Linked DNA regions of Rattus norvegicus. The main gene of each other region encodes a partner of the protein of the gene in region 6 in a complex. Links are inferred from orthologs where the notes say so. Each region holds a gene or a part of one and is shown on either strand. Other genes may lie near its edges. The genes, in order: Med13l, Med13, Med31, Med19, Med21, Med18 and Med12.

The links.
Region 1: Med18 (region 6) and Med13l share a complex: the UniProt entries of both Homo sapiens proteins name them as parts of the mediator complex. The link is inferred for Rattus norvegicus from reciprocal best matches to the Homo sapiens genes MED18 and MED13L.
Region 2: Med18 (region 6) and Med13 share a complex: the UniProt entries of both Homo sapiens proteins name them as parts of the mediator complex. The link is inferred for Rattus norvegicus from reciprocal best matches to the Homo sapiens genes MED18 and MED13.
Region 3: Med18 (region 6) and Med31 share a complex: the UniProt entries of both Homo sapiens proteins name them as parts of the mediator complex. The link is inferred for Rattus norvegicus from reciprocal best matches to the Homo sapiens genes MED18 and MED31.
Region 4: Med18 (region 6) and Med19 share a complex: the UniProt entries of both Homo sapiens proteins name them as parts of the mediator complex. The link is inferred for Rattus norvegicus from reciprocal best matches to the Homo sapiens genes MED18 and MED19.
Region 5: Med18 (region 6) and Med21 share a complex: the UniProt entries of both Homo sapiens proteins name them as parts of the mediator complex. The link is inferred for Rattus norvegicus from reciprocal best matches to the Homo sapiens genes MED18 and MED21.
Region 7: Med18 (region 6) and Med12 share a complex: the UniProt entries of both Homo sapiens proteins name them as parts of the mediator complex. The link is inferred for Rattus norvegicus from reciprocal best matches to the Homo sapiens genes MED18 and MED12.

What each region holds. Positions count from the first base shown.
Region 1 is NC_086030.1:43,662,873-43,667,401, forward strand, and holds the start of Med13l (mediator of RNA polymerase II transcription subunit 13-like), read right to left. Parts: upstream 2,948-4,529; 5' UTR 2,493-2,947; coding exon 2,421-2,492; intron 2,391-2,420; exon of another isoform or gene 1,501-2,390; intron 1-1,500. UniProt on the Homo sapiens protein: Component of the Mediator complex, a coactivator involved in the regulated transcription of nearly all RNA polymerase II-dependent genes.
Region 2 is NC_086028.1:71,670,737-71,675,311, reverse strand, and holds the start of Med13 (mediator of RNA polymerase II transcription subunit 13), read left to right. Parts: upstream 1-1,410; 5' UTR 1,411-1,481; coding exon 1,482-1,547; intron 1,548-1,671; exon of another isoform or gene 1,672-2,555; intron 2,556-3,468; coding exon 3,469-3,703; intron 3,704-4,575. UniProt on the Homo sapiens protein: Component of the Mediator complex, a coactivator involved in the regulated transcription of nearly all RNA polymerase II-dependent genes.
Region 3 is NC_086028.1:57,335,871-57,340,499, forward strand, and holds the start of Med31 (mediator of RNA polymerase II transcription subunit 31), read right to left. Parts: upstream 3,020-4,629; 5' UTR 2,964-3,019; coding exon 2,936-2,963; intron 2,046-2,935; coding exon 1,968-2,045; intron 1,695-1,967; coding exon 1,598-1,694; intron 5-1,597; coding exon 1-4. Other genes in the region: C10h17orf100 (uncharacterized protein C17orf100 homolog), read left to right, coding at 3,316-3,717. UniProt on the Homo sapiens protein: Component of the Mediator complex, a coactivator involved in the regulated transcription of nearly all RNA polymerase II-dependent genes.
Region 4 is NC_086021.1:90,167,505-90,171,854, reverse strand, and holds the start of Med19 (mediator of RNA polymerase II transcription subunit 19), read right to left. Parts: upstream 3,027-4,350; 5' UTR 2,983-3,026; coding exon 2,766-2,982; exon of another isoform or gene 2,577-2,765; intron 1-2,576. Other genes in the region: Tmx2 (thioredoxin-related transmembrane protein 2 precursor), read left to right, coding at 3,388-3,576. UniProt on the Homo sapiens protein: Component of the Mediator complex, a coactivator involved in the regulated transcription of nearly all RNA polymerase II-dependent genes.
Region 5 is NC_086022.1:181,294,202-181,296,828, reverse strand, and holds part of Med21 (mediator of RNA polymerase II transcription subunit 21), read right to left. Parts: intron 592-2,627; coding exon 477-591; intron 1-476. UniProt on the Homo sapiens protein: Component of the Mediator complex, a coactivator involved in the regulated transcription of nearly all RNA polymerase II-dependent genes.
Region 6 is NC_086023.1:149,949,615-149,953,976, forward strand, and holds the start of Med18 (mediator of RNA polymerase II transcription subunit 18), read right to left. Parts: upstream 3,059-4,362; 5' UTR 2,909-3,058; intron 2,189-2,908; 5' UTR 2,118-2,188; coding exon 2,045-2,117; intron 1-2,044. UniProt on the Homo sapiens protein: Component of the Mediator complex, a coactivator involved in the regulated transcription of nearly all RNA polymerase II-dependent genes.
Region 7 is NC_086039.1:70,464,799-70,468,428, reverse strand, and holds the end of Med12 (mediator of RNA polymerase II transcription subunit 12), read right to left. Parts: intron 2,288-3,630; coding exon 2,044-2,287; intron 1,542-2,043; coding exon 1,398-1,541; intron 1,207-1,397; coding exon 1,125-1,206; intron 927-1,124; coding exon 883-926; 3' UTR 652-882; downstream 1-651. UniProt on the Homo sapiens protein: Component of the Mediator complex, a coactivator involved in the regulated transcription of nearly all RNA polymerase II-dependent genes.

The DNA.
Region 1 (4,529 bases), on a different chromosome or scaffold from region 6:
TCCAGGGTTAAGAGCACTGGCTAATCCTCCAGAGGACCTGGGTCCAATTCCCATCACCTACAGGGCAGCTTACAATGGTCTCCAATTCCAACCCCAAGAAATCCAACACCCTCACACAAGTACACAAGGAAGCCAAACAACAATCAGTGCTTATAAAATAAAGATAAAGTTCTTAAAAATTAAACACCATTTATCCACCTCCATATAAACAGTCTACATTTTTAAACCAATCTAAATCTAAACCAATTTCTGCATTCCAAAATTAGTCACCCAAAAAGTTAATTGTACTTTATATTCCAAAGTCAACTTTTTGGTTTAAATATGTTAGGGGAGAAATACCCAGAATGCAGTCAAAATCAAAGTTCAGAATCTTCAACAAAGAATCTCTTCTCTACCCCCTCACTCGCTGAAGCTGAGAGAAATGAGGAAGGATCCTAGAGTTGGGCTGTTCAGCCGGGCAGGCTTGCATTTGCCCGCACAACACATTGTATATAAATTAGCCACATGCACACAGCACTGCTGCTCAGCGTGATGACAGTAATGTGGCCAACTAACGTGGCTGACTTGGTTATTTTAATTACCTGTAAAAGTGTCATTGTGATCGCCCAGTCGACAAATTGGGGGGGGGGGGGGGGAATACCCTGCTAGTCAATACATTTGCTGATCTATGAAGGTCCCTGAATCTAATACTAAATGACAAACAGGGGAAGTGGGGGTGGAGGGGTGAAAAAAGAGGCAGAAGTAGTTTTATCTCACATCAAAAGATCAAGAGTAAATTCCCACAGTAGTAAAAGGAAGAACCCCAACTGCTAACTGAATCTTGAAACTCAGCCTCTGGATAAAATTCGGGGTGACCTGCAATCAGTCTGCTTACAAGAGTGGAAGCAGGGGTACTGTGTCACTCAGTCTTTGTAGGCCAAAATCATGCTTGATTTCTTTATCGGCATGAAAACAGAATGACACTTCCAAAGTTGGCAACAATTCGTATTTCTCCACTAATCTCCAAGGGGAGAAAAAACATCTATGCCACCCATAATTAAATGTAACTAATTACAATTTGAACACTAAATTATTTATCCAGTGTAAACAGGGACTAAGGAAAAAAAGCTTCTATCTACAGCAGGGGTTCCAGAAAATAATTTGCAATAAACGCATGCTTTCCAAAAGGCAGCACCCATAACGCTCCCCCACCAAAATTGGGCACACAACTTAAAATAAGTTCAGTTTTTAAGGCTAAATTAAATAGGCCGTTCAACCAATTTTCCAATTATATTCTACACTTGAAACATAATTGCCTTACATCTGTTTACAAATCTTTGCTCAATATTTAAACAAATTCTTACTCTCCGGGGCACAGAGCTCCACATACAGTAACTCAGGCACAAAGCGCGTATTTAAAGACCACGCACTCCCATTATCAGTCTAAGCGCCAGGTTTAACAACGCGAATGTTTTCAGAGCTAGGTAATACGACCCAATAAAAAGCAAAGATGGCATTTACCACCAAATGTCACTGCCACCGCCAGGAAAGAGTTGCTGGAGCCCTATACATTTTTAATTTCGATGAATCGAGCCGCCGCCACCCGGTGCCAGGCTTCCAGAAGAACAATTGACACCCTAAATGGTTCGAGATTAAGGCAGGCGATGCACTTCCAAAGCAAAAGTTGTCAATTATCAGAGGCGAGAGCGGGAGAGGCGAGGCGAAGGCAGATAAAAGCGATGTTATCAAACCGCCCAGCTTGTTGCTCGCGCGCGCGTGTGTGTGTCTGTGTGTGTGTGTGTGTGTGTGTGTGTGTTCCTTGTTAAGGCAGAGAAAACAGTTTTTAAAGGCAGCGGAGGAGAGCGAGGAGCACCAGCTTCCTCCACCTTCCGTGGGCTCCGAGCAACGGCTCTCCCGCTCTCCGGCATAGTAAGCCTCGAGAGGCGGGCGGCTGTCCGTGTTTACAACCGCGCGAGCTCCAGCTGCCAGAGTCCTTTGCCTGACACCATCGCCTTCCATCAACTGTTTTCGGGCGAAATCGCAGGTGTCATTGTGGAATTTAAAAAGAGAGAGAGGGAGGTAGAAAGAAAGAAAAATTCAGAAAGCAGACACGGGCGAGCGGCCGATCCGATCGGGAGAGAGAGGGCGAGCCTGCAGATCACCGGCGCCGGCGGCTGCACAAGGCGGAGAAGCCTTCCACATTTCGGGAAGGAGGAGGAAAAAAAAAAAAGAAAGAAAAAAGAGGGGGAAGGGGAGGGGAGGGGTGTGATTGCCACGGAGGTGGGCGCTCCGAGCGCGCCCCGGCGTCCGCAGCGCCCCGACTTCCACACGCACGTCCACGCCGGGCGCCGCGCTCGCCGACGCCGCCAGGGCTCCGGGAGGAGAAAGTTGCGCGGCGGGGAGGTCGCGCCCCCCACCCGGGCCCCCGCCCCGCCACTCACCAGCGAGAAGAGGTTAGAGTGACAATCCTCCAGGCTCGCCCCGTTCGCCACCCAGTTCGCCGCGGCGGTCATGGTCCTCCGCGAGCCCGGCCGCCAGAGCGGGGCATGTCGGAGCGGGCCGGGCCGGGCGGCGGCTCGCGGGCACCGGGGCGCGAGGCCCGCGCGGGAGGCCCGAGGGCGGCGGCGGCGGCAGCGGGGGGCGCGGCGCGGCAACGCCGCCCGCCTCTGTCGCGCAGGGCCGCCGCCTCCGCCTCCGCCTCGCCGCCTCGTCGGCCGCCTTGTTTATCTCCAGCCGGCGGGCGACTCGCCCTCGGCCGCGCCGGCGCGTGAGGCACGCGAGCCCCGCAGCCGCCCGGAGCCGCCGCCGCCGCCGCCGCCGCGCGAGCCCGCGAAGGGGGGGGTGCGGACGAAGCCAGCGGGCGACCCCGGCAGCCGAGCGCCGTCCCCTCCTTCCTCTTCCTCCCCACCCCCCCCTCCTCCCCAGTCGGCCGCGCTTCTCCTCCCTCCCCGGGCTCGCTCGCTCTGACAGCAATGGCGGCCGCCGACCGCGGCTCGGCCCGCCATTGGCTGCGGTGCGTCACGTGACGGGCGCCGGCCGCGCGGGGGGCGGGGGAGGGGCCGCGGCGGCGGCGGTGGCTCGCGGGAGGCGCTGCTGAGCCGAGCGCGGCCCTCTCGGAGCGGGGACGGAGCCAGGGAGGGAGAGAAAGAGGTGCGGGCTGCCGTGGGACGCCGGGGCTGCGTGGACGCCCCGCCCTGGGCGCGGGCGCGCGTCAGTCGCGGGCCGAGGAGGCCGCGGCTTCCCCGGCGCGGCCTCCGAGCCCTATTAGCTGCTCCGGCCTGAAGCGCGGCGTGGGCCGGCCGGGCCTGTTGGAGCGAGCCGAGGAGTGTCTCCTCGGAACCTCGCGCCCGCCGGCCGTATCGCACCGGGCGGAGGAGTAGGATTCGGAGACACAAAGGCAGCGAGGCGCTTGCCCGGGGCCGCGGGATTCGAACCCGGGCATCGGGAAGCCAGGGCTCCGGGCTAGCTGCCTACGGAGCGCTGAGCTCCTAAAGCACCCGTGCTTCTGGAGCCCTTCGCGCCCACTCTGTGTGTGCGTGCACGCAGGCATTCCTTGCATAGATGATCCCAACGCTCTTAGGTGCCACATTCACACTGTGCTATGTGGGGAGCAGGCCCTGCCTCCAGCTCCAAGCGGTCAATAACCAGCATTCCTTCTTCAGAGTAATGGGGCTGGAAGAAGTGCTGATACAGGAGACTGCCCTCCAGGAGTTTTTGGCCCCAAAATAGAGAAAAGGAAAAAGTTGACTTGAAAAGAGGTAGAATTATCGGGGTGTGGTGGGGCATGACTGTAATCTCAGCACTTAGAGGCAGGTAATCTCTGGGAGTTCCAGACCAGCGTGGTCTACACTGTCTCAAAGAAACAAAGGAAAAATAAAACGCTGTTGAGAGTGATGGGAGCGAAATAAAGGGGAGACGAATCTTACATACCAATTGGAGCTTTGAAAGTACCACAAACCTTAAACCCTGCAACGAAGGTGGCTCATACACATAGGTCACTTTGCAGAGTCCTCAGAAACTAGTGAGCTAGCTCGGGTGCATCCCCAAGTTACTGAGTGGCTGAACACCGGAACTATCTGAATTCAGAAGGCTCTAGAAAGGATGCCAGGAGCTGGCTTTGCTATGCCTAGCTGTGACCCTGCCCGACAAAGTTTAACTATGCCTCATTTTCTAATCTGTCCAAAGCAAATCCTAATTGCTGACCTGCTGACCTCAAGCCACACATTTCTGTTAAGATGCTATTGAGGGAATCGTTACAAGGGGGATGCCCAACACTTTATGCACACATGTAGTGTTACTGAGACCTGAGCAGCCAGTCAGACGGTCCATCATACCCAGAGTCCACCCATATTCATCACACACAGGCTACAGCCTACTAGCTGGTCACAGACTAAGCAAGTTAGACGGGAAAGGAAAAGGGAGGTGAGAGGGGTTCGGCACAGGATCAAAAACAAACAAACAAGAAACAGTTTACATATCAGGAATGCTAGCATTTTATTTTAAAAAATTGCTCAACTTTATGTATCGCTAGGACCAAATATTTATGTCCC
Region 2 (4,575 bases), on a different chromosome or scaffold from region 6:
CTTACTCTCAGAGTTCACTTGCTTCTCAAAATAACCATAGAAAGTAAGGATGGCAGTATAGTAATGTATGCCTTACATGGCTTAGCTGCTCCAGGCACTAGAGCTCAGGTTGTATTAATGTGTCACATAACAAATATAACGTTTGTTTCCCTCATTTTACAGATGAGGAAACTGAGTCACAAAGAGGTAAAAGACTGGCTTCGAATCCTGAACAGCAGGACTTTATTCCTAGCTTATTAACCACAAGGCCAGATCATTTCGTTTTTACCTTTTTATTATAACTTAAAAAGAGAGGGTGAGGTTGATGTCTATCCAGCTCTGATTTCTCTAGTCCTAGAGTTTCTCGATGTACCCAGAGGCCTTATGGAATAAATGAGAGTGCATTGGAATTTCTTTCTTTTTCTTTTCTTTCCTTTCTTTCTTTTGCCAACTTTCTCTTCCAAAGAATTCGAACTGATTTCCAAGTAATTCTGGGTTTTGAAGTGAACCTTCCTGTGCTGCACATTCCCCAGCCAGCAGAAAGCTAGGGCCAAGGCTTGGGTCATCTTAACCGGGGCATCCAGCAGATGGCGCCATCTCAGTAGCCACCAGCTGGCCGCCGGGTCCCCGGGGCTCCGAAAGCTTCCCTGCCCTCCCTCACCGCCTTCTCTCTCCCCCCCTCCCTACGGAGCCCGGCCCACGTGACCTCACGGCGGCCAATGGGCGAGCAGAGAGGGCGAGCTGGTCCCTGTGGCCGCCATTAAAGCGAAGGGAAAACCCGTGAATTCGGATTAAAGGGGGAAAAACACCGCCCGCTGGGCCCACAAAATGGGGGAGACTACGGCGTCCAGGCGGTGAGGCGGCAGGAGAGCAGACGTTAGGCAGGCTTGGCCCAGGGACAACACGAGGACAGAGCCGGAGAATGGACTGAGCCCGCAGACACCGCCACCACCTCCGCCGCTGAGGAGACTCTGGGCTTAAGGACATCGCCGCTGCCGGGCCGGGGGCCCGGGCTGCTCTGCCGGTCCTCGCCCTTCCCGCCCCTCCGCGGGCGTCCCCGGGCCGCGGAGAACCCTCCCGGGCGTCAGGGCTCGGCCTGCTCCCACTCCGGCTCTGACTATTTATCGTGTCCCTGATTGTTATTTTTTTTTGTTTTTCGTTTTTTCTTTTTTAAATCTTTTTTTTTTTTTCTGGTGGAAGGGACAGACATCCCTTCCCCTCCTCTCCAGAGAGGGACGCGCGTCCGCGGGCTCCGCAGTCCCGGCGGCCGGCCGAGCGCGGCGCGGCCCTCCCGCCTGCGGCCTCGGCCCCGGGCGGCTGGGTGCCTCCGGGCGGCGGGGGCCGCGGCGGCGCCGGGGGGCGGCGGGGAGGGCGGGCGGCCCGGCGGCCTCCTCCCCACCGCCCCCCGCCCTCCCCGGTGTCTGTGTTTCTCTCTCTGGTCGGAGGCGGCGGTAATGGCGGATGGTGGGTTGTGGCGCCGGCGGCGGCTGCTGTGAGGGACGATGAGTTCCTCCTTCGTGTCGAACGGGGCCAGCCTGGAAGATTGTCACTGTAACCTCTTCTGCCTGGTGAGTGCGGGGGCCGCGGGCGATGGGGGAGGGGGCCGCGCCGTGCGCCCTTGGGCCGTGGGGGAGGGGGTCCGGGTCGCATCCAGATGCCGGTGTCCCCGGGCTAGGCCCCGCCGCCGGAGTCGGCCTTCTCCGAGGCTCTGCGGCCGCCCCCGGGAGACAGCGTCCGCTCACCCACCGGCCAGGGCTCTGCTAGGAAGAGTCTTGCCTTTTTTTTTTTTTTTTTCTTTAAAGTCTTTCCCCTCCTCCTGTCTTGTTTTGGAGTCTTTTTCTCCATCGTAGTCTTGTCCTTAACTTGGGTTCTTATCTGGCCGGATAGTAATATTTTCTTATGTGCTTCTTGCTTGCCCCCCCTCCACCCCCCGCCCCTTGTATGGAACAGCGTATCCCTTTTCCACACTTTCCAGGATTGCCCCTGCCTGCTTCACTGCCTTTACGCCCTTCCCTTGTAAGTGGGCTTCTCTTAAACAGGACCCCCCAAAACTTATGTATTAAAACCCTCTTCGTTTTATAAGTTAAACTAACACAGGGGTAGTTTCCTTATGGGTGACTTCAGATCTTTGTGTAAAAACAGTGTTTGCCAGTTCATATGTTTTCTTTTTAAACTTTGAAAACATTTTGCCATTTTGACAATTTCTAGCCATCTTGCTTTTATTAGAACATTATGTTTTTGTGAGAGTGGAGGGGCTAGTGGAGGAGGTACTGTGGTTTCGCACTAAACGTTCTATATTTGTCAGTTTTGCTTACGTTTTAAGAATGTTTTGAGCTGGCTGTTCCTTTTATTGAACTGAAAAGTGTGGGGAAGCTGGAATTAGGGATGTTCTAGTATGTATATGTAGGTCGGCCCAAATCGGATAACACCCAATAGTTAAGACTTTTTGTCAAAAGTACCAACTGTTGCAAATATCTAGTCCTGAATTAAACGATATCCGAGCTTCGTGAATGACTTTAAGTTGGAGTGACTTTTTCATTTTTCTTGTGCTGTGGGAAATATTAAGTCTATCATAGGTAAGTGAATTAAGTGGGTGGAGCATAACTAGTTGGCAAGCGTAAACTGCCAGTCATGTATCAGCAGTTTCATTTTTGGCACCGTATGCTTTCTGTCACCAAGTTAGAGTAAAGAATTATGAATTTCCTTTGTTGAATCTCTTTCACGATATGGTAAATGGGGATCTTTAACGTACTTCTGCCTTACAGATTAGACTGGTTTTCTCGACAGTGTCCATTAATCAGCATCTCATCACATGTAGTAAGATGTACAGCAGGTTTAACGTTTCTGTCTTCCCCAACTGGATCTATTTTTGGCACTTCGGTTTTTTTGAAGATAGATTAGCACAAATCTGACAGCTCCTTGGAAGTAGTTCTTTTCCTGAAGATGTGTGCTCGTGGGGAATTAGCAGGCTTTTTTTTTCTTTTCAGAAAAACATTCAGAGTCTTTTCATTAGAGCCATGACGTCTTACGACGTTGCAATGAGGGCCTTTACTTTTCAGTTCACCAGGGAGCGACTGTGACTGACGGCTAGAGAGGAATGTAGGCTAGAGACGACAGACAGGCTTACCATCATTGTTTCCTTGGTCGGCTTCCGATATGCTGTGTTTATTACAGACTGGCTACTCACGGGCATCTTTGATATTTTATTTAACAGTTTTGTATTCTTTTCCTTCAGTTCTTGTTGGTTGAAACATTAAAATTGGCCATGGTGTTTTGTTTGTTTGTTTGTTTGTTTGTTTTTTTAATTTTGTCAACTTTCAGTTCTTAAGCATGAATTGAAAATAGTGATTTTAATGAATCAAAGACTTTATAGTGAATATATATTTATATATAAATATGTAGTAACATAATATATTATATTTAATAATCGATATTGTTTATTTGAGTGAATATACAATAATATAGATATTATGCTTTCTTTTCCTTCAGGCCGACCTGACAGGAATTAAGTGGAAAAGATATGTATGGCAAGGCCCAACTTCTGCCCCTATTCTGTTTCCGGTGACAGAAGAAGACCCCATTTTGAGCAGTTTTAGTCGATGCCTTAAGGCAGATGTACTCGGTGTTTGGCGGCGAGATCAAAGACCTGGAAGAAGAGAATTGTGGATATTTTGGTGGGGTAAAGATCCCAATTTTGCTGACCTTATTCACCATGACTTATCAGGTGAAAGCAATTTATCCTTTTTCAATGTGCCTTAGCAACGTTGTATACTTTCCCCAATGTGCATATGCTGTGGTGGGCTGTCTTGTCAGTGGGAAGCTATAAGAGCAGTTGCCATGCTCTGTTTAACCATCCTTGTTTTAGTTTCCTCAAGTTAGCCATGTAGATTACAGCCCAGCTCCCTTCTGTAGTTTCTCACAGACAGTTTGTATCTAGGGAAAGCATTTTCATTAACCTGAGAAAAATGGAATCTGGAAGCATGGTGTTTTTCATAGTTATATAATAGTTTTGAAGTCAAGTGTAACTCACCTTTGAGTCTATTTTGCTATGTTCTTTTTGTCTAACCCTGTGGGCGGGTCTAGAAATGTAACTTTGGCATATATTTTCAAAAGTATAGTTTTATTTTAATATTATTTAGGATTATGTGTTAACCCAGGGAGGTATATGCTGTTTTTTGGGGGGTGGATGGGAGTGTCTTTTAGATACTGCTTCATCAAAGAATAAATTACTAAAGACAGTGCCATCTTTATAACTTAAAGGACAAAGGTCAGTCTGAAAGTTTGCACAGAAATAGTTTATTACAAGCACATCAATATTACTTCCTTTTTATTTTCTTGACTTTTAGGGCCAAATGTACTTGAGAAAGCAACTATAGCCCTTGATGAAAATTACTGGTTATGTTTATTTTAAACTCAGTATAAGTGTATTTTTTATTGATATAAAATAAACTTGGAGGAACCAAGTTCTAGTTTGATAGGATTTTTCACAGTTAAATTGAATTTCTTTTTTTAAGGTCTTTAAAGTTTTCTGTGTGAAGAGGGAGAGCAGGTGTGGATATGTGTGTGCCACTGTCGTGTGGGGTCAGAGGACAACCT
Region 3 (4,629 bases), on a different chromosome or scaffold from region 6:
GTACCTGGGTTTAAGTTCATAAGTCAATTATCAACATAATTTAAGGCATCCCAAGTTCTAAATCAGATACTCCCCTAAAAATGATCTCAAGCCCACCATTTCTACTACTATGGTACCTTTGGTAAAATCACTCCTACCATGTTATTCAGAACATTATGCAAGATATAGTGGAGTTATTTCACAACTTCTCTCGAATTTAAACATCTATAGCTGTTACCTCCAAGAGGACACAGATGAACAGAATAAGGAACAAGCCTACAAACGGCTTAGAGCTACAAGGAGGTGTATTTGATCAGAGTATATAAGAAGAGCTCCCTTACCTCTGGCTATCAATGGAGTAAGCTGCCTCTAATAGTAGAGGGACCTATGATCATAGGGAGCCTCCAACAGAGCGGAGACAATCATCTTTCAACAGCTGGGCTGGAGAGACTGAGCTTGAAGGTGGCTAAAAGTTTGCTAACATGTAACATGTTATACTTTTCTTTCTTTTTTTTTTTTTCTTTTTTTTTTTTTTCTCGGAGCTGGGGACTGAACCCAGGGCCTTGTGCTTCCTAGGCAAGCGCTCTACCACTGAGCTAAATCCCCAACCCCATACTTTTCTAATAGTAATTTCAAGCCTATCATTTGGATTCCTAGAGGAATCTAGAATTGCATCATGAAGAGCAAATCTACAGGCAGCCCAGGAATCAAGTCAGAAAAATGACTACGATTAAAAAAAAAAAAAAGGTTTGAAATGTTTTCCTCTAATTTTTAAAATAGGGTCTCTCTGTGTGGCCCTGAATGGCCTGAAGCTTGCAACATAATCAGGCTGGCCTCAAATTCACGGAGATCTGCCTGACTCTGCCTCTTGAGAGCTGGGATTAAAGGGACACCAAGCTACTTCTGGGGTTTTTGTTGTTGTCCCCTCCTTTGGGGCAGTGTCTAGACAGGGTTTACCTGGGTAGAGTGGCTGTCCTGGAAGCAGCTCTGGCCTTGAACTCACACATGCGCCCGCCTCTGCCTCCCAAATGTTGGGATTAAAGCCAGCTTGGCTTTCTTTTCTCTTTTTAAGTCAAAGCAGAGTTTGATGTGATATTGTTGTGTCTGTTCTTTTACAGTGAGTTAATACGCACAGTGATTGAAACAAAGGACACCACAAAGAAAGGCAGGACCTCTAAGACTCTCAGGAAACAGTTCTTCCTACCGTCACAGGTTATGGGTTGTTAGGCCTCAAAACCCCAGAAAGACAGGGGCAGTGCTAAGTGACATGGTTAGACACGACCAAATTACATTAGAACTGTAGTCTACAACAGTTCACTGGATCTTAGCCTGCACGAACAGTATGCTCTGACTTACACTGCCAAGAGAGTAAGCTGGCTCCCACGTAGACAGTTCTTTGGTTTTGTTTGAAGGGAGTGAGGTAAGAATGGTAGCAGAAATAAATGAAATTCCTGTCATAATCAACCCAAGTTAGAGATAACAGCGTCTTACATCAACTAAAAGCAGAAAGATCCCAAATGCTGTTTTCCATTCTGACACCGAGAAAACTGCTAAATAATAGCACTTAGTATTTATAATAAAGTACACACAGCTTTGGGATTTTAAAAATTAAACTTACTTTAGATATTTGGCATATTCTGGTTCTTTCCAGTAAAGCAAGTACTTAAGATAATTAACAAAAGCTTTGTCTTTGAAGTAACCTCTTTGGGCGAGAACTGAAAGACACAAAGAAACACTCTGTATGTCAACCACTGCTGGGCTGCTGATCTGTAATCTCTTAAGTAAAGTAGCTCTTCTTAACATCCCTACCGACAAAACACAAGGGATTAAAAAACACAAGCCCTTGTTTGCTCAGTTGATACTTACAGACCAGCACAAGTAAAACCCCAAACACATCGAAGTAAATAAATACTATTACAAATTGCATCTCTTCTCAGAAACCATTAAGATCTAGTGAGCTACTTAAGTTAATGATGTACTTAACTTACAATTAAGGTAATTTGGGTTGGCTAAACATTGCACAAATTCCAACTCCAACTGAAACCGAAGTCGATTTCCAGCATCATCTAGGAGAAAAGACAGTAAAAAAAAAAAGAGAAAGAAGGAAGGAACGATCACCCAAAATAAAAGTCACAATACAAACATTGATTTGTAGAAACAAAAATAAAACGCAGGTCAAACAGCTCAGCAAGTAAAGGTGCTTGCTGCAAAGTCTGATGACCTGAGTTCGATTCCTGGAACCTACAGGGTTGTAGGAAGACAACCGATTTCTGCAAGTTGTCCTCTAACCTTGGCATGCACCGCCGCTCACCCCCATAAACACACACACACATGCACACTCATGAATGAACTCAAATATCAAAGTGTGGAAGAAACTTCCTTAGAAATTTAGTTTAATTCACTACTTAGTGAGCCCTGTTTCCAAAACAAAAATAGTAATAAAAAAATCCTTTAAAGTTCGTTGAGGAAAAAATATGTAGAACCTGTACGCCACTGTGGAAGGACGTGAGCGGAGATTATCGGATAGTCTGCAATAGCTGTACGGTTCCCTATGTTGTTATAACCACAACTAATTACGTTAAGCAAAAACAAAGTGCTACACAAAAACGAAGCAGGAATGATTAAACAATGGAGAGAAGACGGTGATATGCATTAGAATACACAGGTTACCGACATTTCAGGCAAGTTTGGAGAAGTTCCAAAGAGCAGACAGTGGAAGGTCTCAGTCCTTTCTATGCGCCCCGGCCCGCCCCGCGAGTCAGGGTTGGAGTAGGGGTTAGAGCAACACAGGAGCAAAGTTGGTCCTACAGGCCATATTCTGGGGGGCAACACCGCCTTCTCCTCCGCCGGTCCCAACTCTAAGGATGAGGAGTTGAGCCCGGAAGACGGCGCAGGGGAAGGGAAACGGGAGAGGATTTTGGGGCGAAGGACCATTCCCGTGCAAAACACAACGCACCTGTCTCCATAGCGACGGCCGCGGCCATAGCAAGCAGAAAGGCGCAAACACTACCAACCCGACCCAACCGCAGCCCGGATTGGTGAAGGAGAATCCGGAAGTCACGGGTCCTACTTCCGGTCGCGGGGCAGAGTGGGACACGAGGGCGGGGACAACTTCACTTTGGGGAAGAGTGGCCCCGCCCATCTGTGCGGACCGGGCCGACTGCGCGCGCAGATATCGAGCGGGGCGTGCCGGAGGGCTTCTCTGATTTCAGGTCTGAGTCCTGCTGCCTACTCTGATGTAATACACCTCTCTGACGTCACCTTCCCCCGGGTGGCGTGACGCAGAGCATGATCCTTGGGCTTCTTTGTTCCTCCTGACCAAAGTGTACGGGCAGGATGGCCTCGCCCCTTAGGAGCAAGTCCTCCGTCCCGCGAGTGGAAAGCACCCGCCACAAGGAGACATCGACTGTCCGCATGGAGACGTCGTCCCACCGCGAGGAAACGTCATCCCACCGCGTGGAGACGTCCTCCCGGCAGGTTCTAACGTCTTCCCGGCAAGTGGAGACCTCCCAGCGCCACCGAGAGGGACCCTCCCTCACCCCCTCCGCGAAGCGACTCCCTCAATTCCTCGAGGTGTCCTCCCAGCACGTGGAAACCTCCTCGCAGTGCATGGAAACGTCCTCCCGCCACGTCAGGGCGTCGTCATCCCTGCGGGTGGAGACTACTGTGCACCGCGTAGAGAGCCCAGCCAGGCGAGACAAGCAAGCCACTCGGCAGAGTGCCAGAATGACTCGATGAAGTGCCATGGTCCTTAGCCAGGACTGAGGAATTGCCAGCCAGCTTCCAGGAGAGCCAAGTATCTTTGGTTTCATGGAAACAGCCCATAAAACAGTGTAAGAAGCAGGCTGTGGTTTCTGGGCACTGTTAACATGTATTGACATTGCAGCACCTTAGTCCATCCTGCTGTTGACCCAGCGTACTATTAACCTGAAGCCAGCACAGAAAGGTTTCCGATTTGTAGTACTGTGTAAACCCAGACGATGGACAAAGAGATTCTTTGAGTCTCTACACCAGGTAAGTTTTATAGTCTTAGGTCCCTCTAGAATGTGTTGACGACTTGAAATCTGCGAAGAGGGGCCAGATTTGTCATGTTTCTTGACTACTGGCCTGATCATATACCTGCTTGAAACCTACAGAGCAAGGCATCATCTTTCACAAATTGTTAATTACCCTTTAATAATATTTATATTTCATAATAAGTTTTCTCGTGTTAAGTTGTTATACACAGTATTCCATCTACACTTTAAAAAATAGGTCAGGAGCTATTAGAAAAATAAGGGCAGGGCAATTGAGAAAAAAAAATACTAATCTTGGGAGGGAACGTGAAGAAGCAGCCATGACACTTGGTCTGGGGCGTGAGATTGGCAGAGGATGGTTACTGAGTACCTACAGCATGCTTGGTACCAGTCAGAACTTGTCGGCTATAGCAGTGGAAAAGACTAAGATCTTCTCAAGTGAAGAGAAAGTAAGACGATGTTCTGTTGTATTCCTGTGAAAGATAAGGTATCTATCTTGTGGTAGCGAGTAGGGCGCTCTTTCGAGAACATGGTCAGGGAAAGCCTTGCTGATGACACTTGGTCTGAGATTGTGTGGGTTAGCAGCAAGCCATATCAGGATCTACAGGGAAGTACATTTTACACAGTACATTTT
Region 4 (4,350 bases), on a different chromosome or scaffold from region 6:
AACCTGAGAACTCATGTTCTGTAGTTTTAGAAACAAAAACCAGTGGTACAGTGCTTAGGTGCTTATGTAGCTTGTGGAAGGTCTTGAGTGTGATTTTAAGCATGGGGGTGCTCTATTTAAATAACCTCTATTTAAATTCCCATGGTACTAGAATCTAATAATTTTTTAAAATTTTAAATTTTTTTTGATATAGAGTCTCTCTCTAAAGTCTTGGATGACTTGGAACTCACTAGGTAGACCAAGTTAGCCTTGAACTGAGAGATCAACCTGCCTCTTGATTTATCCTGAAAGATTTATTTTTATCCTATTTGGTGTGTGTGCGTGTGTGTGTGTGCGCGTGCGCGTGTGTGTGTGTTGTGTTGTGTGGATGTATGCCACATATTATTTGAGTGCCTATGGAGGTCAGTAGAGGGTGTTGGGATCCCTGGAGCTGGAGTTACATACAATTGTGAGGCTCCCATATGGATTATGGGAACCAAGCTTGGTCCTTTGGACAACATCAAATGTCCTTAACTGCATGACCTTAGAGTCATCTTTACAGTTCCAATGGACCTTTTCAAGGCAAGGTCTCATGTAGCCAGCAATGACCTTGGGCTCCTGATCTTCCTGTGTACATCTCCCAAGGGCTGGGATTATAGAAATATACCATCAAGCCCGGTTTGTCAAGTATGGAGAATGAATATAGAGGTCTTTATGCATGCTAAGCATGTACTCTTCCAACTAAACTACATCCCTAGCCTTCCTAATCAAATTTTATTACAACTTAACTTTGGAGCCTGATCAACTACTAATCTTCCTGCAAAATTTCTAATGTATCCAGATAGATCTACGTATCCTCTGGGTAGAAAACAGCAACAAAACTGTACCACTATTTCCTTTGAGAAAATAACTTTCTAATTTTGTTTGCCTATATAAATTCTTCAGAGTTCAGTTCAAATGACATCTTATTATTGCTGTCATTTTGGCTAACACATTTTGAAAACCATCAGGTAGTTTTAAACACTGCTTCCTGTGTGAAGCATGACTATAAAGTAGTAAACAGACACCCACAAAGATACAAGCACCATCCTTAAACCATGTATTATGGATCTCAAAAAGTAAGCTACGTAAAAACCCGGCTTAATAATCTCCCCTTCTCAGAATCCCACCATACCCAGCGTTTGCCTCGGAGATTCAGTATTTATCAACTGATTTATATATAAATGGCATAATCAGAACAGGAAATGCAAAAGATAAACTGCTGGAAGAAGCTGGGCATGGTGGCACATACCTGAAGGCTGAGATTAAGTGGATCTCTGTGAGTTCAAGGCCAGCCAAGTCTACAGTGAATTTGAGACAAGCCAGGGCTACATAGTGAGGCAAAACAACTAAAATAAGGAAAAAGAGAACTTCTGGAAGACACCTGTCATTAAAGCACATATAGTTATTTCTTTATGCTTCAGTCCTCAACTATAAAATATAATACCTATCTATCTAAAAGGGCTACATATTGTACACACCTCACTGATGTGAACTTTAAACTACTGTGCTAATAGCTAATTGGGATAACTGAACTTCTATTTTTCTTTTTTTGAAGCAGGATCTCATGTCCTCTAGGCTGGGCTGGAACTCCAGAACCTTCTGCCTTCACCTCCTGAGTGCTGGTATATAGTACCACAAGTTCCCTAAGATTTAACATATCCAGAACACCTCTTGATTTTTAGCTCTTCAAATTTTTTCTTTCCATAACTTCCTACTCTCAGACTACTATAACCTTTGTACAGAACACCCACAATTCCTCTGTTTATATTTAGTTCTTTATTTCTGTAGGCTTCACCTTTATCATGTATCCTGTATTCATTTGCTTCTCTACTGCTAAGTCCTGGTCCAAACCATTCTCTTTTAGGAACACTGATTTCTGATTACCCCATTTTCACTTATGTTTCTGCTGAATATCTTTTTAAAAAAAAAAATCACTAAATTAGCTCATTCCCCCCCCCCCCCATGTTGAAATTGACTTCAACTTGAACTTTAAACCTACATTGCCTTATAAAGGCCTCTACCTATTTTCCATCAGTACTGGAATTGTTCCTTTCCTTGAATTCAATGTGTCTTCTGCCCCTCAGATATTCTAAGCACCCCCCCCCCCATCTTCCCCTCCAAAACAGGTCTCCTGATGTAGTTTCTTCTATCTAGTATCTTCTCTCTGTCCAAGGACCGATGGCTTTGTTTATTCTTGAATGTTACCTACTCAGAGATGATTCTGTGAACACGCGCCTTATGCATGGCAGTCAAGAGTTCTACCACTGAGCCACGCCCCCCCCCAATTTTCCCGAATAACTAACTTTATGAATGTAAGAATTGATTCAATTCTAGTCCTTTCTTTGAGCGGGTTAATCTCCAAGTCCCTGACGAGGAAGGCAACTTGCTATAAACCAACAAGTTTGTGACAGACTTTAAACTAAAATCTTACTGTCTCCAGAAACGTTAAATCAGGTCTCCCGAGTTCCAAACAATGGCTCGTTTTCATAGAGTCACAAACAGCGGTTAGAGAACCCGGATCACAGAACTTCTCGCTAGAGGTAGTCCCAGATATTCACACCCAACCCAAACCCACCCCGGGAAATCAAGTTATCTTTTAGAGTTGTGAATCGCCAAAGGGCTTCTGACACTGTTGCCCACTGGCCACCCGTAGCCCTGTTATCTTACACCTTGCGCTGCAGGATGCTAGCCACAACGGTCACCTAAACTATTATCTGATTGGCTACTTTTGGCCCACTACTCACCTGGCAATTCCCGCATAAGGTAGAAGGGACCGCTTCCAGCCGTGGACTTATCCGCTCCCACGGGGGCCGAGGTCGCGGTCGAAGGTGGAGCCGTGCCTGGACCACCTCCCGGAGGAGGAGGGGGTGGCGGCGGAGGCTTTCCAGGCCCGAACCCTAGTGCGCTTGGTGGCGGTGGGGGGTCAGTTTGAGCTCCGAACAGGGCTGTGAAGTTCTCCATAGCACTCGCCGCTCTTGGTTACCCGGGATCTGGCGTTAATTACTTTCATTGGACAGCACTTTCACAGGGTACCACCCTCTTGGTTTAACAGCTTCCCATCATTGGATACGCTAAGCTCCGCCCACCATCTTCCGGCAACTTACTTCCTTTGCCCTGAGAGATTGTTCAGGTAGTGTTTCACAGACTAATAGCCAATAAAATGACTCAGGTAGAAAAGCGACAATTATGAGGACCAATAGACTATCTAATTCATTTTCCGATCTATTATAGCACCCAATAAGAGATCTACATCCGGGTCTGGAGGCGTTGCATCTGATATTTGGCCCAATAGAAGCCTTGCTGTTGGGGGCGGAGGACGACGATTTGGGGAGCGGGAGTGAGCCTGCAAGAGTGTAGGCAGGGAAGATGGCTGTCCTCGCGCCTCTGATTGCCTTGGTGTACTCGGTGCCGCGGCTTTCTCGATGGCTGGCCAGACCTTATTGCCTTCTGTCTGCCCTGCTTTCCATTGCTTTCCTCCTCGTGAGGAAGCTGCCGCCGATTTGCAACGGTCTCCCCACGCAGCGCGAAGATGGCAACCCGTGTGACTTTGACTGGGTGAGCGCCCCCTGCCTTAGTAGCTGTCGACCTTGACCATCCATCCCTGCCCTGCAGGTGCATGTGAAGATGGGAGGGCGGGTTTCGAGTGTAGCTTACACACTTGAGTGGAGAGCCTAGGCCGTTATCTAGTCCTTACCTTCGTGTTAAAGATGGAGAAACAGATTCCAGGGTTTCCATCACAGATGAACAATATTCTTCTGTGATTCCAAGTTCCTTGGGGCGCCACTGACGAAGACTAGGCCCGTGGTAGAAATACCATTTAAATTTTTCTAATTTTTAACGAAGTGATCACAGTGTAGTTAGGCGATTTTTCAAGGTAACACAGCGTTCACTAAGTGCTGTCTAACCTTAATCAATTCTCTGATAGACCGGCAGACATAGGTCACTGACTCAACAAAATAAATGACTTTGGTGGAAAAATCGTCTGCTCTGGGCATAACAACTGTGCGCACTATCTTCCTGAGGTGGGATAGGAAAACAGGGAAGGTTACAAAAATACGAGGTGGGGGGAAGCCCATCAACCATCTAAGAAGCAATATTTAAGAACAGTTAACATTTACCGTGAAGGTTGTGGACATAGAGCTAATATTTTTTTTTCATATACAGATATTTATGCTATAACAGCAATGACCAGGACTAAAGGTATTAATATAACCTTGGGTAGGCCTCACATGTTCTGGGACTCTCAAACAAGATTATTAACTTTGTTTACATTAAAGATACAATACTGTTGCGGGGCTTTGGGTTGTACCATTTTAACCCAGCACTCTA
Region 5 (2,627 bases), on a different chromosome or scaffold from region 6:
TATTTATTAGGACAACACATTGGTACTTTAAGGAAAGGAATCCATAGATGAGATGTTTCTCTTATTAAGGTCACACAAGCAAACTTCAGCTTAACTCACACACACTTTCCTCTAAGGAGGTAGCAATCTTTATTGGACATGAGTAAAATTATGCGGCTTATGAATTACACTGATAAGGTCATTCCTGGGCCAATGAGAGCTTTGCAGATAAGGGCACGTGCCACCAAGTCTAATGACCGAAGTTTGATACCCAGAACCCAAATAATGGAAGGAGAGAATTACTCCAGATCCTCTGATCTCTTGTGTGCATGCTATGGTGGGCACACCCACATATACACCAAATATATGTAAAAAAAATAAATAAATAAAGAATCTATGGCAAAACTTAGAGCAATATACTCTAATCACAGTCACATTTTTTACAAACAAGCTATAAATTGTAGAAAAAAATGCCAGTCAAACTAAGCAGAGCTCACCTTCTGTAGGATTGGCTGGTTGATCTTTATTAATTGCTGTCTGAATGTTACTAAAAGAGGCAGGGGGACCACACTGCTGTAATACACCAATGGCATTGCAAAACTGATCTGCAAGCTTGAGCAAAAGGAAAAAAAGGTCAAGGTTACAAAGATCTGTCAATGTTAAGGATTTTATTAAAAATGGCAACGACCGGGGTTGTGGATTTAGCTCAGTGGTAGAGCGCTTGCCTAGGAAGCGCAAGGTCCTGGGTTCGGTCCCCAGCTCCGGAAAAAAAAAAAAAAAAAAAAAGAACCAAAAATGGCAACGACCTCTTCATAACAATGTTCTCCATACAAACCAGTCAGACAAAGGGATAGTCTGAAATAAAATGAGCCCAGTATCACAGGCTGCAGCTAAAACACCCACTCTTCAGGGATTTATTTACATCTAGTTTGGATTAAATGGTTTAATCATACAAACAAATATGAATCTAGGTAAATTAAATTTGGTATTAATCTAGCTTAAGGAATAAATACATGAAAGCCAGGTTATGTCGTCTAACACCTTTAATGCTAGCACCTGGGAGGCAGAGGCAGGCTGATCTCTGAGCTCAAGGCCAGCCAGGGTTGTACTACAAGAAAACCAAAGACTCAGCTGTAAATGATTTGTTCTGAGTGGCTCTGGAGACTGAGCTCTCTCCATCCCAGCAGATACGCAAACGGCAATAGAGAAAACACGGGCTGAATGGGTAAGAGCACTGGTTGCTTTTGCAGAGGACCTGGATTCAACTTCCAGAACCCACATGGCAGCTCACAGCCATAACTCTAATCTCAGGGGACCTAATGTCCTCTTCTAGACTCTACAGGCACCAGGCACCCACATGGTACACATGTAGAAAAAAAAATCATCATACATATTAAAAAAAGAAAGAAGGAAATGTCTCCTTCAAACTCAACAAACAAATCCTAAGACACCAAAGTGGTTGAACTAGTAGACAACAAAGTCAATTTGAATTGCAAAAATGACTGTTGTAAGAGTCTGTTCTTTTCTTCTATAGTGTGGGTCCTGAGGTTCAAAATCAGGTCAGATCTAGGGGCAGAGTCTTTACTTACTCAGCTGAGCCACTCTGCCAGCCGCTAAACCATTTTTATGCTGATTTTATTTATGTGTATGAGTGTTTTGTCTGTGTGTATGTATGAGGACCATGAGCATTCAGTGCCCACAGAGGCCATCAGATCATCTGGGACTAGAGTTTTAGATAGTTGTGAACCACCATGTGGATGTTAGGAGTTAAATCCAGATGCTCTGAAAGAACAGCTAAGCTCTTAACTGCTGAGCCATTTCTCCAGTCCCATATGCTAATTTTTAAAACCAAAACCACCAAACACAAAGTTGGTTCCCCTGTATCCACAACAGAGACCCTAGGTTCTCACTGGAGAGCTAATCTAGTTGAAAATGTGAGCTTTCTGCTCACTGAGAGTCCTTGTCATAAATAAATACACAAATAAATAAATAGATAAATAAATAAATAAATAAGAAAAATACCCTCAGATAACTCTGGCCTCTACATAAATGTATACAGGTTAAATGCACCTGTACACACACACACAGAGTTCAGATGGTTGTTTACATAGCATACATGAAGCCCTGGGTTTGATCCATAGCACTGCTTAAACTGTAGGTGGTAGCACACACCTGTAAACCCAGGACCTGGAGGCAGGAGGATGAGAATTTCAAGGATATCCTCAGAGATGTTTTTGAGGACAACCTGGGCTACATGAGAACCTGTCTCAATAAAAGAAAGTAAAAAAAAAAAAAAAAGAAAAAGAAAGAAAGAAAAAAAACAAACCAAAACCAACCAACCAAACAACAACAACAAAAAAAAAAAACCAAGCAAGAGTAATCTTCCTTTTCCTTTTATAAGTACTGAGATATATACGCCAAACTTATTCCAAACAAAATTACTGCCCAAGACAGGGTTTCTCTGTGTATCCCTTGCTGTCCTGGACTCACTCTGTATAGACCAGGCTGGTTTTAACTCAGACATCCTGTCTCTGCCTCCAGAGTGCTGAGATTAAGAGTGTGCATTACTACCACCTGGCTAAAAATAAGTGCTCTTAAAAGGTGGTAGTTTGAGATTGAGAAAATCTGGCTGGCAAATATATCTACCA
Region 6 (4,362 bases):
TCGCACAGAATTTAAAATGGTATTTTAAATCTTTAAAAAAAATAAAAAAGGACTGAGGCTCCGAAAATAAAGATACAGGCCAATTGCTCAAGGCCAAAATTTAAATGTTTAATCTGGAACATTTAAGAGGGGCCAATAAGATGGCTCAGTGGGTACAGGTGCTTGCTGCCAAGCCTGAAGACCTGAGTTCAATCCTCGGTACCCTCATATATACATTTATATTGGAGGCCATTGAGCAACAAAAAGCAGGAACTTACTGAGGCCCATACGGAAATGAATGAAAAGCGAAATAACAAGGCTAGATCTCAGAGACAGTCCAGTCAGCATGCACAGTACATGTATGCAGTTAGACTCAGGACGGAAGGGCAGAAGGTCCCAACTGTCCATGGCCATCCAGCCAGTTAGAGGGATGTTAGAGCCAGTCAGTCCAGGGGTCGGGGAGGTGGCTCAGTAGCTAAGAGCACTGGACCTGGGCTCAGTTTCCACCAGCACCCAAACCGTGGCTCACAATCACCCACAATTCCTTTCCAGGGAACTGGACACACTTGTCTGACCTCTGACTCACAAAGACTCATACAAATTTAAAATCCTAGGGCTGGAGAGATGGCTCAGCGGTTAAGGGTGCTGACTGCTCTTCCAGAGGTCCTGAGTTCAAATCCCAGCAACCGCATGGTGGCTCACAACCATCTGTAATGGGATCCGATGTGTCTGAAGACAGCGACAGTGTATACATAAAATAAATAAATCTTAAAAAAAAAAAGATTTAAAATCCTAAAAGAAAAATCTTAATTATATTTGAAAAAAAAAAAATAAGTTGGCCTGGGCTACGTGATACTCCTGTTTCCAAACAACAAAAACAACCTAAATCGTGTCATAGGTTATCAAGGACATAATGCTATGAGAAATAAGTCAGTCACAAAACCAGGGACCTCACTCATGTGGGGCATCTAAGTTGCCAAGGAAGGAAATACAGTGGAAAGGTAACTGTTAAGAGCTAGGAGAGGAGCTGGAGAGATGGCTCAGTGGTTAAAAGCACTGACTGCCCTTCCAGAGGTCCTGAGTTCAAATCCCAGTAACCACATGGTGGCTCACAACCATCTGTAATGGGATCCGATGCCCTCTTCTGGTGTGTCTGAAGACAGCTACAGTGTGCTTATATACATAAAATAAATAAATAAATCTTAAAAAAAATAAAAGAGCAGAAAAAAAAAAGAAAAAAATAAATAAAAGAGCTGGGAGAGAGGGAGACTCAGTATGAGTTTTAATTTTTTTTTTAATTTTATTATTTCTTTTTTAAATTTCACGTGTGGAAGTGTTTTGTCTTCCAGTTTATCTGTAAACCACCTGTGTGCCTGAATCCATGGAGACCAGAATAGGGCATCACATCAACTCCTCTGCAGCTGGAGTTACACACAGTTGTGAGCTGCCGTGAGGGTGCTGGGAATTGAACCAAGGACTTCTGTAAGGGTCTCTCCTCGCCCTGAGTTTTACTTTTTCAAGATGAAAGAGAATAAATGAAAGCCAGGTGCTGGTGGCCCACACCTGTGATGCCAGCACCTGGGAGACAGAGCAGGTGGACCTCGTAGTTCTGAGTTCCAGGCCAGCCTGGTCTACAGAGCAAGTTCTACTACAGTGAGGGTTACACGAAGAAAACCCTGCTTAGAGAAACAAAGTGAGAGTGTGTGTGTGTGTGTGTGTGTGTGTGTGTGAGAGAGAGAGAGAGAGAGAGAGAGAGAGAGAGAGAAAGAAGAGGAGAGAAGGGAGGTGGGAGGTGGGAGGGGAGGGGAGGGGAGAGGAAGGGGGAGGGAGGGAATGAATGAGAGAGAGTAAACAAGTGTAGCACACCTGTGATCACAGGCACTTGAGGCCTGACTGGTCTACAGAATGAGTTTCTGGCCACTGAGCCATCTTCCCACCCAACCTCTTCTAAACGCAATTACTGGGTGACAGGAACCGTGCAGTTGCCTTTATGTAAGTCATCTTGACTTGCTTTAACAAGAAAAGGAACGAAAACTTGGTAATGCATGCTCCGTGGCTGACTTACCCTGCAGGAGGTACTCCATCATGTTAATGGTGCCCCCAGTGACTGGCATCATGGTGACTGGAGGTGCCTCCATGATGCCTCTAATTAGGTTCAAGACGACAGAACTGCAAACAGATCTTCCAACCGGGGAAGCACGGGATACACCTGGAAGAGTCACATTTGTCCATCCACTGTTTTCTGTGGCACTGGCCTTGAAACCAAAGCTCATTCATTCATAACTTTGAATATCTGCTTATACAGCCGGTTCCAAGAACGGGTGACGCAGAAACAAGAGAGGTCTGGCCCTGGTGATCCAGAATGACCATCTAGTCTCAAGTTCTGAACCTTCTAAAAGTTTTTCTATGTCACCTTGAGGCAGCTATGCAACCTCTTGCTCCTTTAAAATAACCCCGGGGCATATAACCACACAGACCCTCCCCCACCCCCATGCGGCTCAAATGAAAGAACCGACATACATATTCAAAAAAGGTGACGTCACTTTGGTCTACGCTGAGAGGCCTCCTTTCCAAACATAAAGAAATAAAAGCCGGTCGTGTTAGGGGAACATCTGTAATCTCAACACTCGGGGACAGAGTTAGGAAGACAACTGCGGCTTCGGGCTAGACTGGTCTATATAGCAAATCCCGGCTAACTAGGGCATCACAGTGAGACTGTCTCAAAAAAACCAAAAGACCTAAGAACCTTGTCTACCCTTCGTTCTATGCAGAGGCCATGGAGACTCAGTGAGAGCACACGCCGGGATCAGACTAGAACTGGTTCTGCCTTTTTGAAAACGCCTTTACAAACGAGCCAGGCGGGAAACATGAAGTTAAAGTGACTGCACCGGTCCTCCCACTCGGGGATCCGGGACACGTGTGCACTTACACTAGCAACACGTCTCCGTTCGCGCTACAGATCCATGCAAAGCTGGACTTAAATCCACGCGTGCACACCCGCAATCCGCACCCCCAAATCCCTCCTGCACAGATCCAGAGAAACCGCCAAACATTCCCTTCAGCACTTCCGGTAGGAAGCTGACGGACAGGAAACTTCTTCGCTACCGCCCCGAAAAGTAAGGGTGCCGAGAGGGCAAGGAAGGCGCCCGCCTTCTGGCACCGGTGTGCAAGAGCGCACGCGCAGAGTGCGGGTCCGCTGCGGTGTTGGGGTCCTAGTCTAGAGTGGTACACTGGAAGGTTACTGTAGGCCTTTACGTCATAGGACAGCTCTAGGAAACGGTTTTTGATTTTTTTGTTTGTTTTTTTTTCAGCTTCGGCGACCTGGATGTTTTGATCAGATCTCTTGAAACTGATTGGATACAATATTTAAATTTTGAACTCAGCCACTGGGGGGAGCGAGGAGGGAAAGAGTCGCAGTGAAAAAGATCAGAAGGGCAGGGGGGTGGGGTGGGGGCTGGCAGTGAGCGGGATGTAAAGTAAGTTAAAAATTAAATTAAATTTAAAAAAAGAAGGGAAGTATGTTTCAAATCGGAAACGCTAAGCACAGCGTTGTGTATTTATAGACCCCAGCAGGAACAATATTTTCTTGTGTGCTTTCAAGGGTCTGGAGAAACAGCTCAGTGCTAGAGCCTTGCCTGGTATGTGCAAGGCCATAAGTTTAATACAGAACAACAGCAAACTCGTTCGATTTTCCATGCATACCCACAACTTTAAATACGTGGGACCAGGCACAGTCCGAATCTGAGAACCTCAGGAGGCTGCGGTAAGGATCTCTCCAGCAGAGCCATTCAACACTTAAACAATATTTTGAGGGTTTTTTTCCAAAAATTAATTAATTAGGGCTAGAGAGATGGCTGAGCAGTTAAGAGCCCTTGCTGCTCTTGCAGAGGTCCCCAATCCCTACATGGTGGCTAACAATCATTTATAATTCCCCTTCCAGGAGATCTGTTACCTCTTCTGACCACATCACTCACTGCATCCCTGTGGTACACATACATACACCCTTGCAAAACACTCGTAACACAAAATATAAAATAACTAGGGGGCCGGGGAGATGGCTCAGCAGTTAAGAGCACTTGCTGTTCCTCAGAGGACTTGGGTTCAGTCCCTAACACCCATATCAGGTGTCTCACAACTACCTGTAACTCTAGTTCCATGGGAACCGACACCCTCATGTGGCATCCATGGGCATCTATACAGGACATATACGGTGTACATACATTTAGGCACACATATACATTAGATAGATAGGTAGTAGGTAGATAGATAGATCGATACATAGATAGAAGGTTGATTGATAGATTGATTGGTAGATAATTAGATAGAAGGTTGATTGATTGATTGGTAGGTAGATAGGTAGGTAGGTAGAGAGATACGTAGCTG
Region 7 (3,630 bases), on a different chromosome or scaffold from region 6:
AACTTTGAATCTCGAGTGAGCAACAGTCACTCTGGGAAACTGCCAAGGTGGGTTGTTTGAAAACATGGAGTTCCAGCAGCAGGTCAGGGAGAGACAACTGTGGCTTCTTGCTGCTCTCTCTTCCTGCTAGAGACACTCTGGACTTCTGTCATGTCACATGACATCACATACCCATGGATGAAACTTTTTAGAAATGTCAGCTTCAGAGACGTTCTCTGGTTAGCTTGGTGTATGATGGGTACCCATGAGATGGCATACTGAGAAGCACTGACTGGCATCTCCACCCTACTCTCAGCTTGTCTGAAGCCAGTATCTGGAGTGTTGTGGAAGGATGACAGGCTTCCACAGATTTCTCTCCAGCCTAATGAGCCCCCTCTCCTAGTGGTATACCCCAGTGGAAGAGAGTTGTAAAGAGGCTACACTGTTTAGCTGAGGAGGCAACCTGCCTTTAAAGGACTGAGGGCTTGGAGCTCATGGCGGGTCGCTTGTGAACAGGGACCAAAGGGCAGCAGTGCAGCTATAACTTAGAAATGCAGAGGCCAGAGGGTGAGTAAGGGAGATGATGTGGAAGGAAGGCATGAAGAGTCTGAGTTGTTCAGCCCTGCCCTGGCACTCACAGGAGACCCTTCCATGTGCAGATTCACACACTTCTTTTGCAAAGAAGCTCTGTGTATTGAGTGCAGCAGCTCTGGAGCTCTATATAAATAATATACAAAACCCAACAGTTCAATGTTTCACATTAACAAAAATACTAAAAATTCATTAAAAATGGAGCCTGAGGGAAGGACCCCAACCACTACTGGAGCTCGCCCAAGAAGGGGACTGGGAATTAAGCAGAAAGGCTGGGCCACATCCAGTGTATAAGCAGTTCCTCCAGGTGACTCAGTAGCGTCCAAATATGTTGGTACTGGGCTGTGGCTGGGTATCTGTGAAAAATGAGAGACTGTCAGGGTAGAAGACCAATCAGGGCTCATATTCATGAGGAAAGCTGGTAAGCTGGGAAGGAAAGGGGAAGAGGGAAAGGGACCTCCACAATGTGGGCCTGAAGCCAGCACCTCAGCCACCTCTGCCTACCCCATTCCCTCTTCTTCCCCAGATTCTTCTTGGGAAGGAGGCAGGCTTACTAGAGAGCTGTTGTTGAAGTTGCCGGACCAAAGCTGCTGTCTGTTGCTGCTGCTGGGTCTGCTGAAGCCCCTGGCGCTGGAACTGGGTAGAAATGGAAAGTAGAAGATAGAATTCCAACTTCCCAGCTCCTTCTTTACCCATCCATCTTAACCTATTAGTACTACCCTTGACCTCCCAATGCTACCCCAATACACTCTGTTCCTAGCGCGGATTGACTATGTGCCCATCCTGTGCGGCTTGCCCTGAACCTGTGGCTATAGTTCACCAGCTACCTGGGGCTGGGACTGGGGTTGAGGTTGGGGAGGTGCTGCCTGCTGCTGCTGCTGGTGTGGCTGCTGCTGTTGTGGTTGTTGCTGCTGTTGTTGCTGCTGCTGTTGCTGCTGTTGTTGCTGCTGCTGCTGCTGTTGCTGCTGTTGCTATAAGCACATAAAGAGATCATTTTAAGAAGAGCAATGGAGCTGTGACTTTGTGTTGAAAAGATGGGAGCAGAAAGGGGGAAGGGAGTTGGAGCCAAGAAGCACTGAGGTTCCCTCCAGTTCCACATCTGAAGGAAACCAAATAGTATGTCTGGCAGAGACTGTCCCATTTTCCCCCTCACTATGATCCTTGGGAAATGAAAAGGAGTGGGGAGGAAGCCACTTAATCACCATTATTGAACCTATTATGGTAGTGAAGGCCTATAACTTCAGCATTCAGAAAGCTGAAGCAGGAGGATTGCCATGAGTTTAAGACTGGCCTCAGTTATAGTATGAAACCCTGTCTGAAGAAACCAAAGAAAATAAAAAGTACTAACACACATCAGCCATTGTGCTCAGTGCTTACTACACGACCTCATATTTCAGCTTGGGGATAGTATGGGAAGAATATGTCTTTTCCTTCTTGGGTTCCCAAGTGTCAGATACAATCCCATGGCCTTACCCTTAGGATCTGCTGTTGCTGTTGTTGCTGTCGGATGTGGTACTGCTGTTGTTGCTGTTGTTGCTGTTGCTGCTGTTGCTGCTGTTGCTGTTGTTGCTGCTGCTGTTGCTGCTGCTGCTGTTGTTGCTGTTGTTGCTGCTCAGGCAGGATGGAAGTTGAACGGACGCCTGCCTGGACACCCTGGGCACTCAACGGAGTCATGGTACCCATCATTGGTGTCTGCTGCAGTGTCTGGTGTGAAAACCTCCAAAGACAAGGGTCCAAAGGTCAAAGCACAGGGCAGAGAAAGGGGGTGGTGCAAACCCTGGGTCCCTGACCTGAAAGAAACTAACAAGTCATTGTATTCATTCCTCTTGGCACTAATGAGAGGAGCCCTTCTGGAGTCTGACCGATTTCTAGGTCAGAGAATAAAACACAAAGACAATACTCCATTTTACTGTCTCATAACCTTAATGCTTAGGAATTTTTAGATTCTGTTTTAGCTTATTTTTCTCTTATGAAAAACTGTCTGCACACGATAAGCATTCTATAAACACCTACCAACGGTTTTTATGCTTGCTGTTGCTCCCCACAAACACACCCAGTTGTTCTGCTACTCCATATGCCCTTCCTACCCGAATCTGCACATCCCTGAAAATCTGCAGCTGTGCTCCCTCACTTCGTCTTCTCACACCTTCCCCTACACTCATTCACTCTACACTAATCCCTTAACACATCAAGCCCTTCCTATCACTTTCCTGAGCAAAGCAGTCCTGTCTGGTTGTGTCTCAATGCTGTACCTCAGTATTCAATGTCATAGTCAACTTGCCCTCTGTAAGCTAGGCCCCGCCCCCTCCACTCCACACTACATTTAAGATGTGCTCCTCTCTGTCTCCAGACATTCAATCCAGTCCCATGTTTTGGCTCATGCTGCATCCTTTACCTGGAATGCCCTTCCTTTTCCACATCTCTACAATACCCAATCATAGTTATCTCAAAGGCCAGCTTGAATCCATGAGTCCTTCTCCAGTGACTCTGATCTATACTGGTAGTAGCCCACCTTTTTCCAAGTCCCATTATACTTCTTGGCACCAAACTGAATACCTGATTATGGCTTTGCTCATACCATTCTCTCTCATAACATTCCTCTCATGGTATCTTCTGTGTAAGACCTGTACTTCTCAATGAGGGTAAAAAAAAAAATCTTTGTGGTGAGGAACTATGCACTTTTTTTCCATTATCTTTCCTTGCTCTAGTCCCAGCATAATGCTGGTTCCATAGCAGACAATTAATCAGCCCACTCTAGAGTATTCTAAATCCTATGTTGCAGAGCCTCATGACAGTTGCCCAGGTCTTAACTAAGATTTGACTAAAATTAACCATGAAATTCATTTGTTAGTCCATCCTAGAGTACAACTGCTTTTTCTCCCCTTGAGAAAGGGTCTCATGTAGCTCAGACTGGCCTCAAACCATTATGTAGCCAAGGAAGACCTCCTCCCTGTACCTCTTGCGTGCTACCACTGCAGTTGTGCATGACATAGCAGGCTTTGTGTAGGGCTAAGGATCAGACTCGAGACATCATGCATGCTAAGTAAGCATGCTATCAAG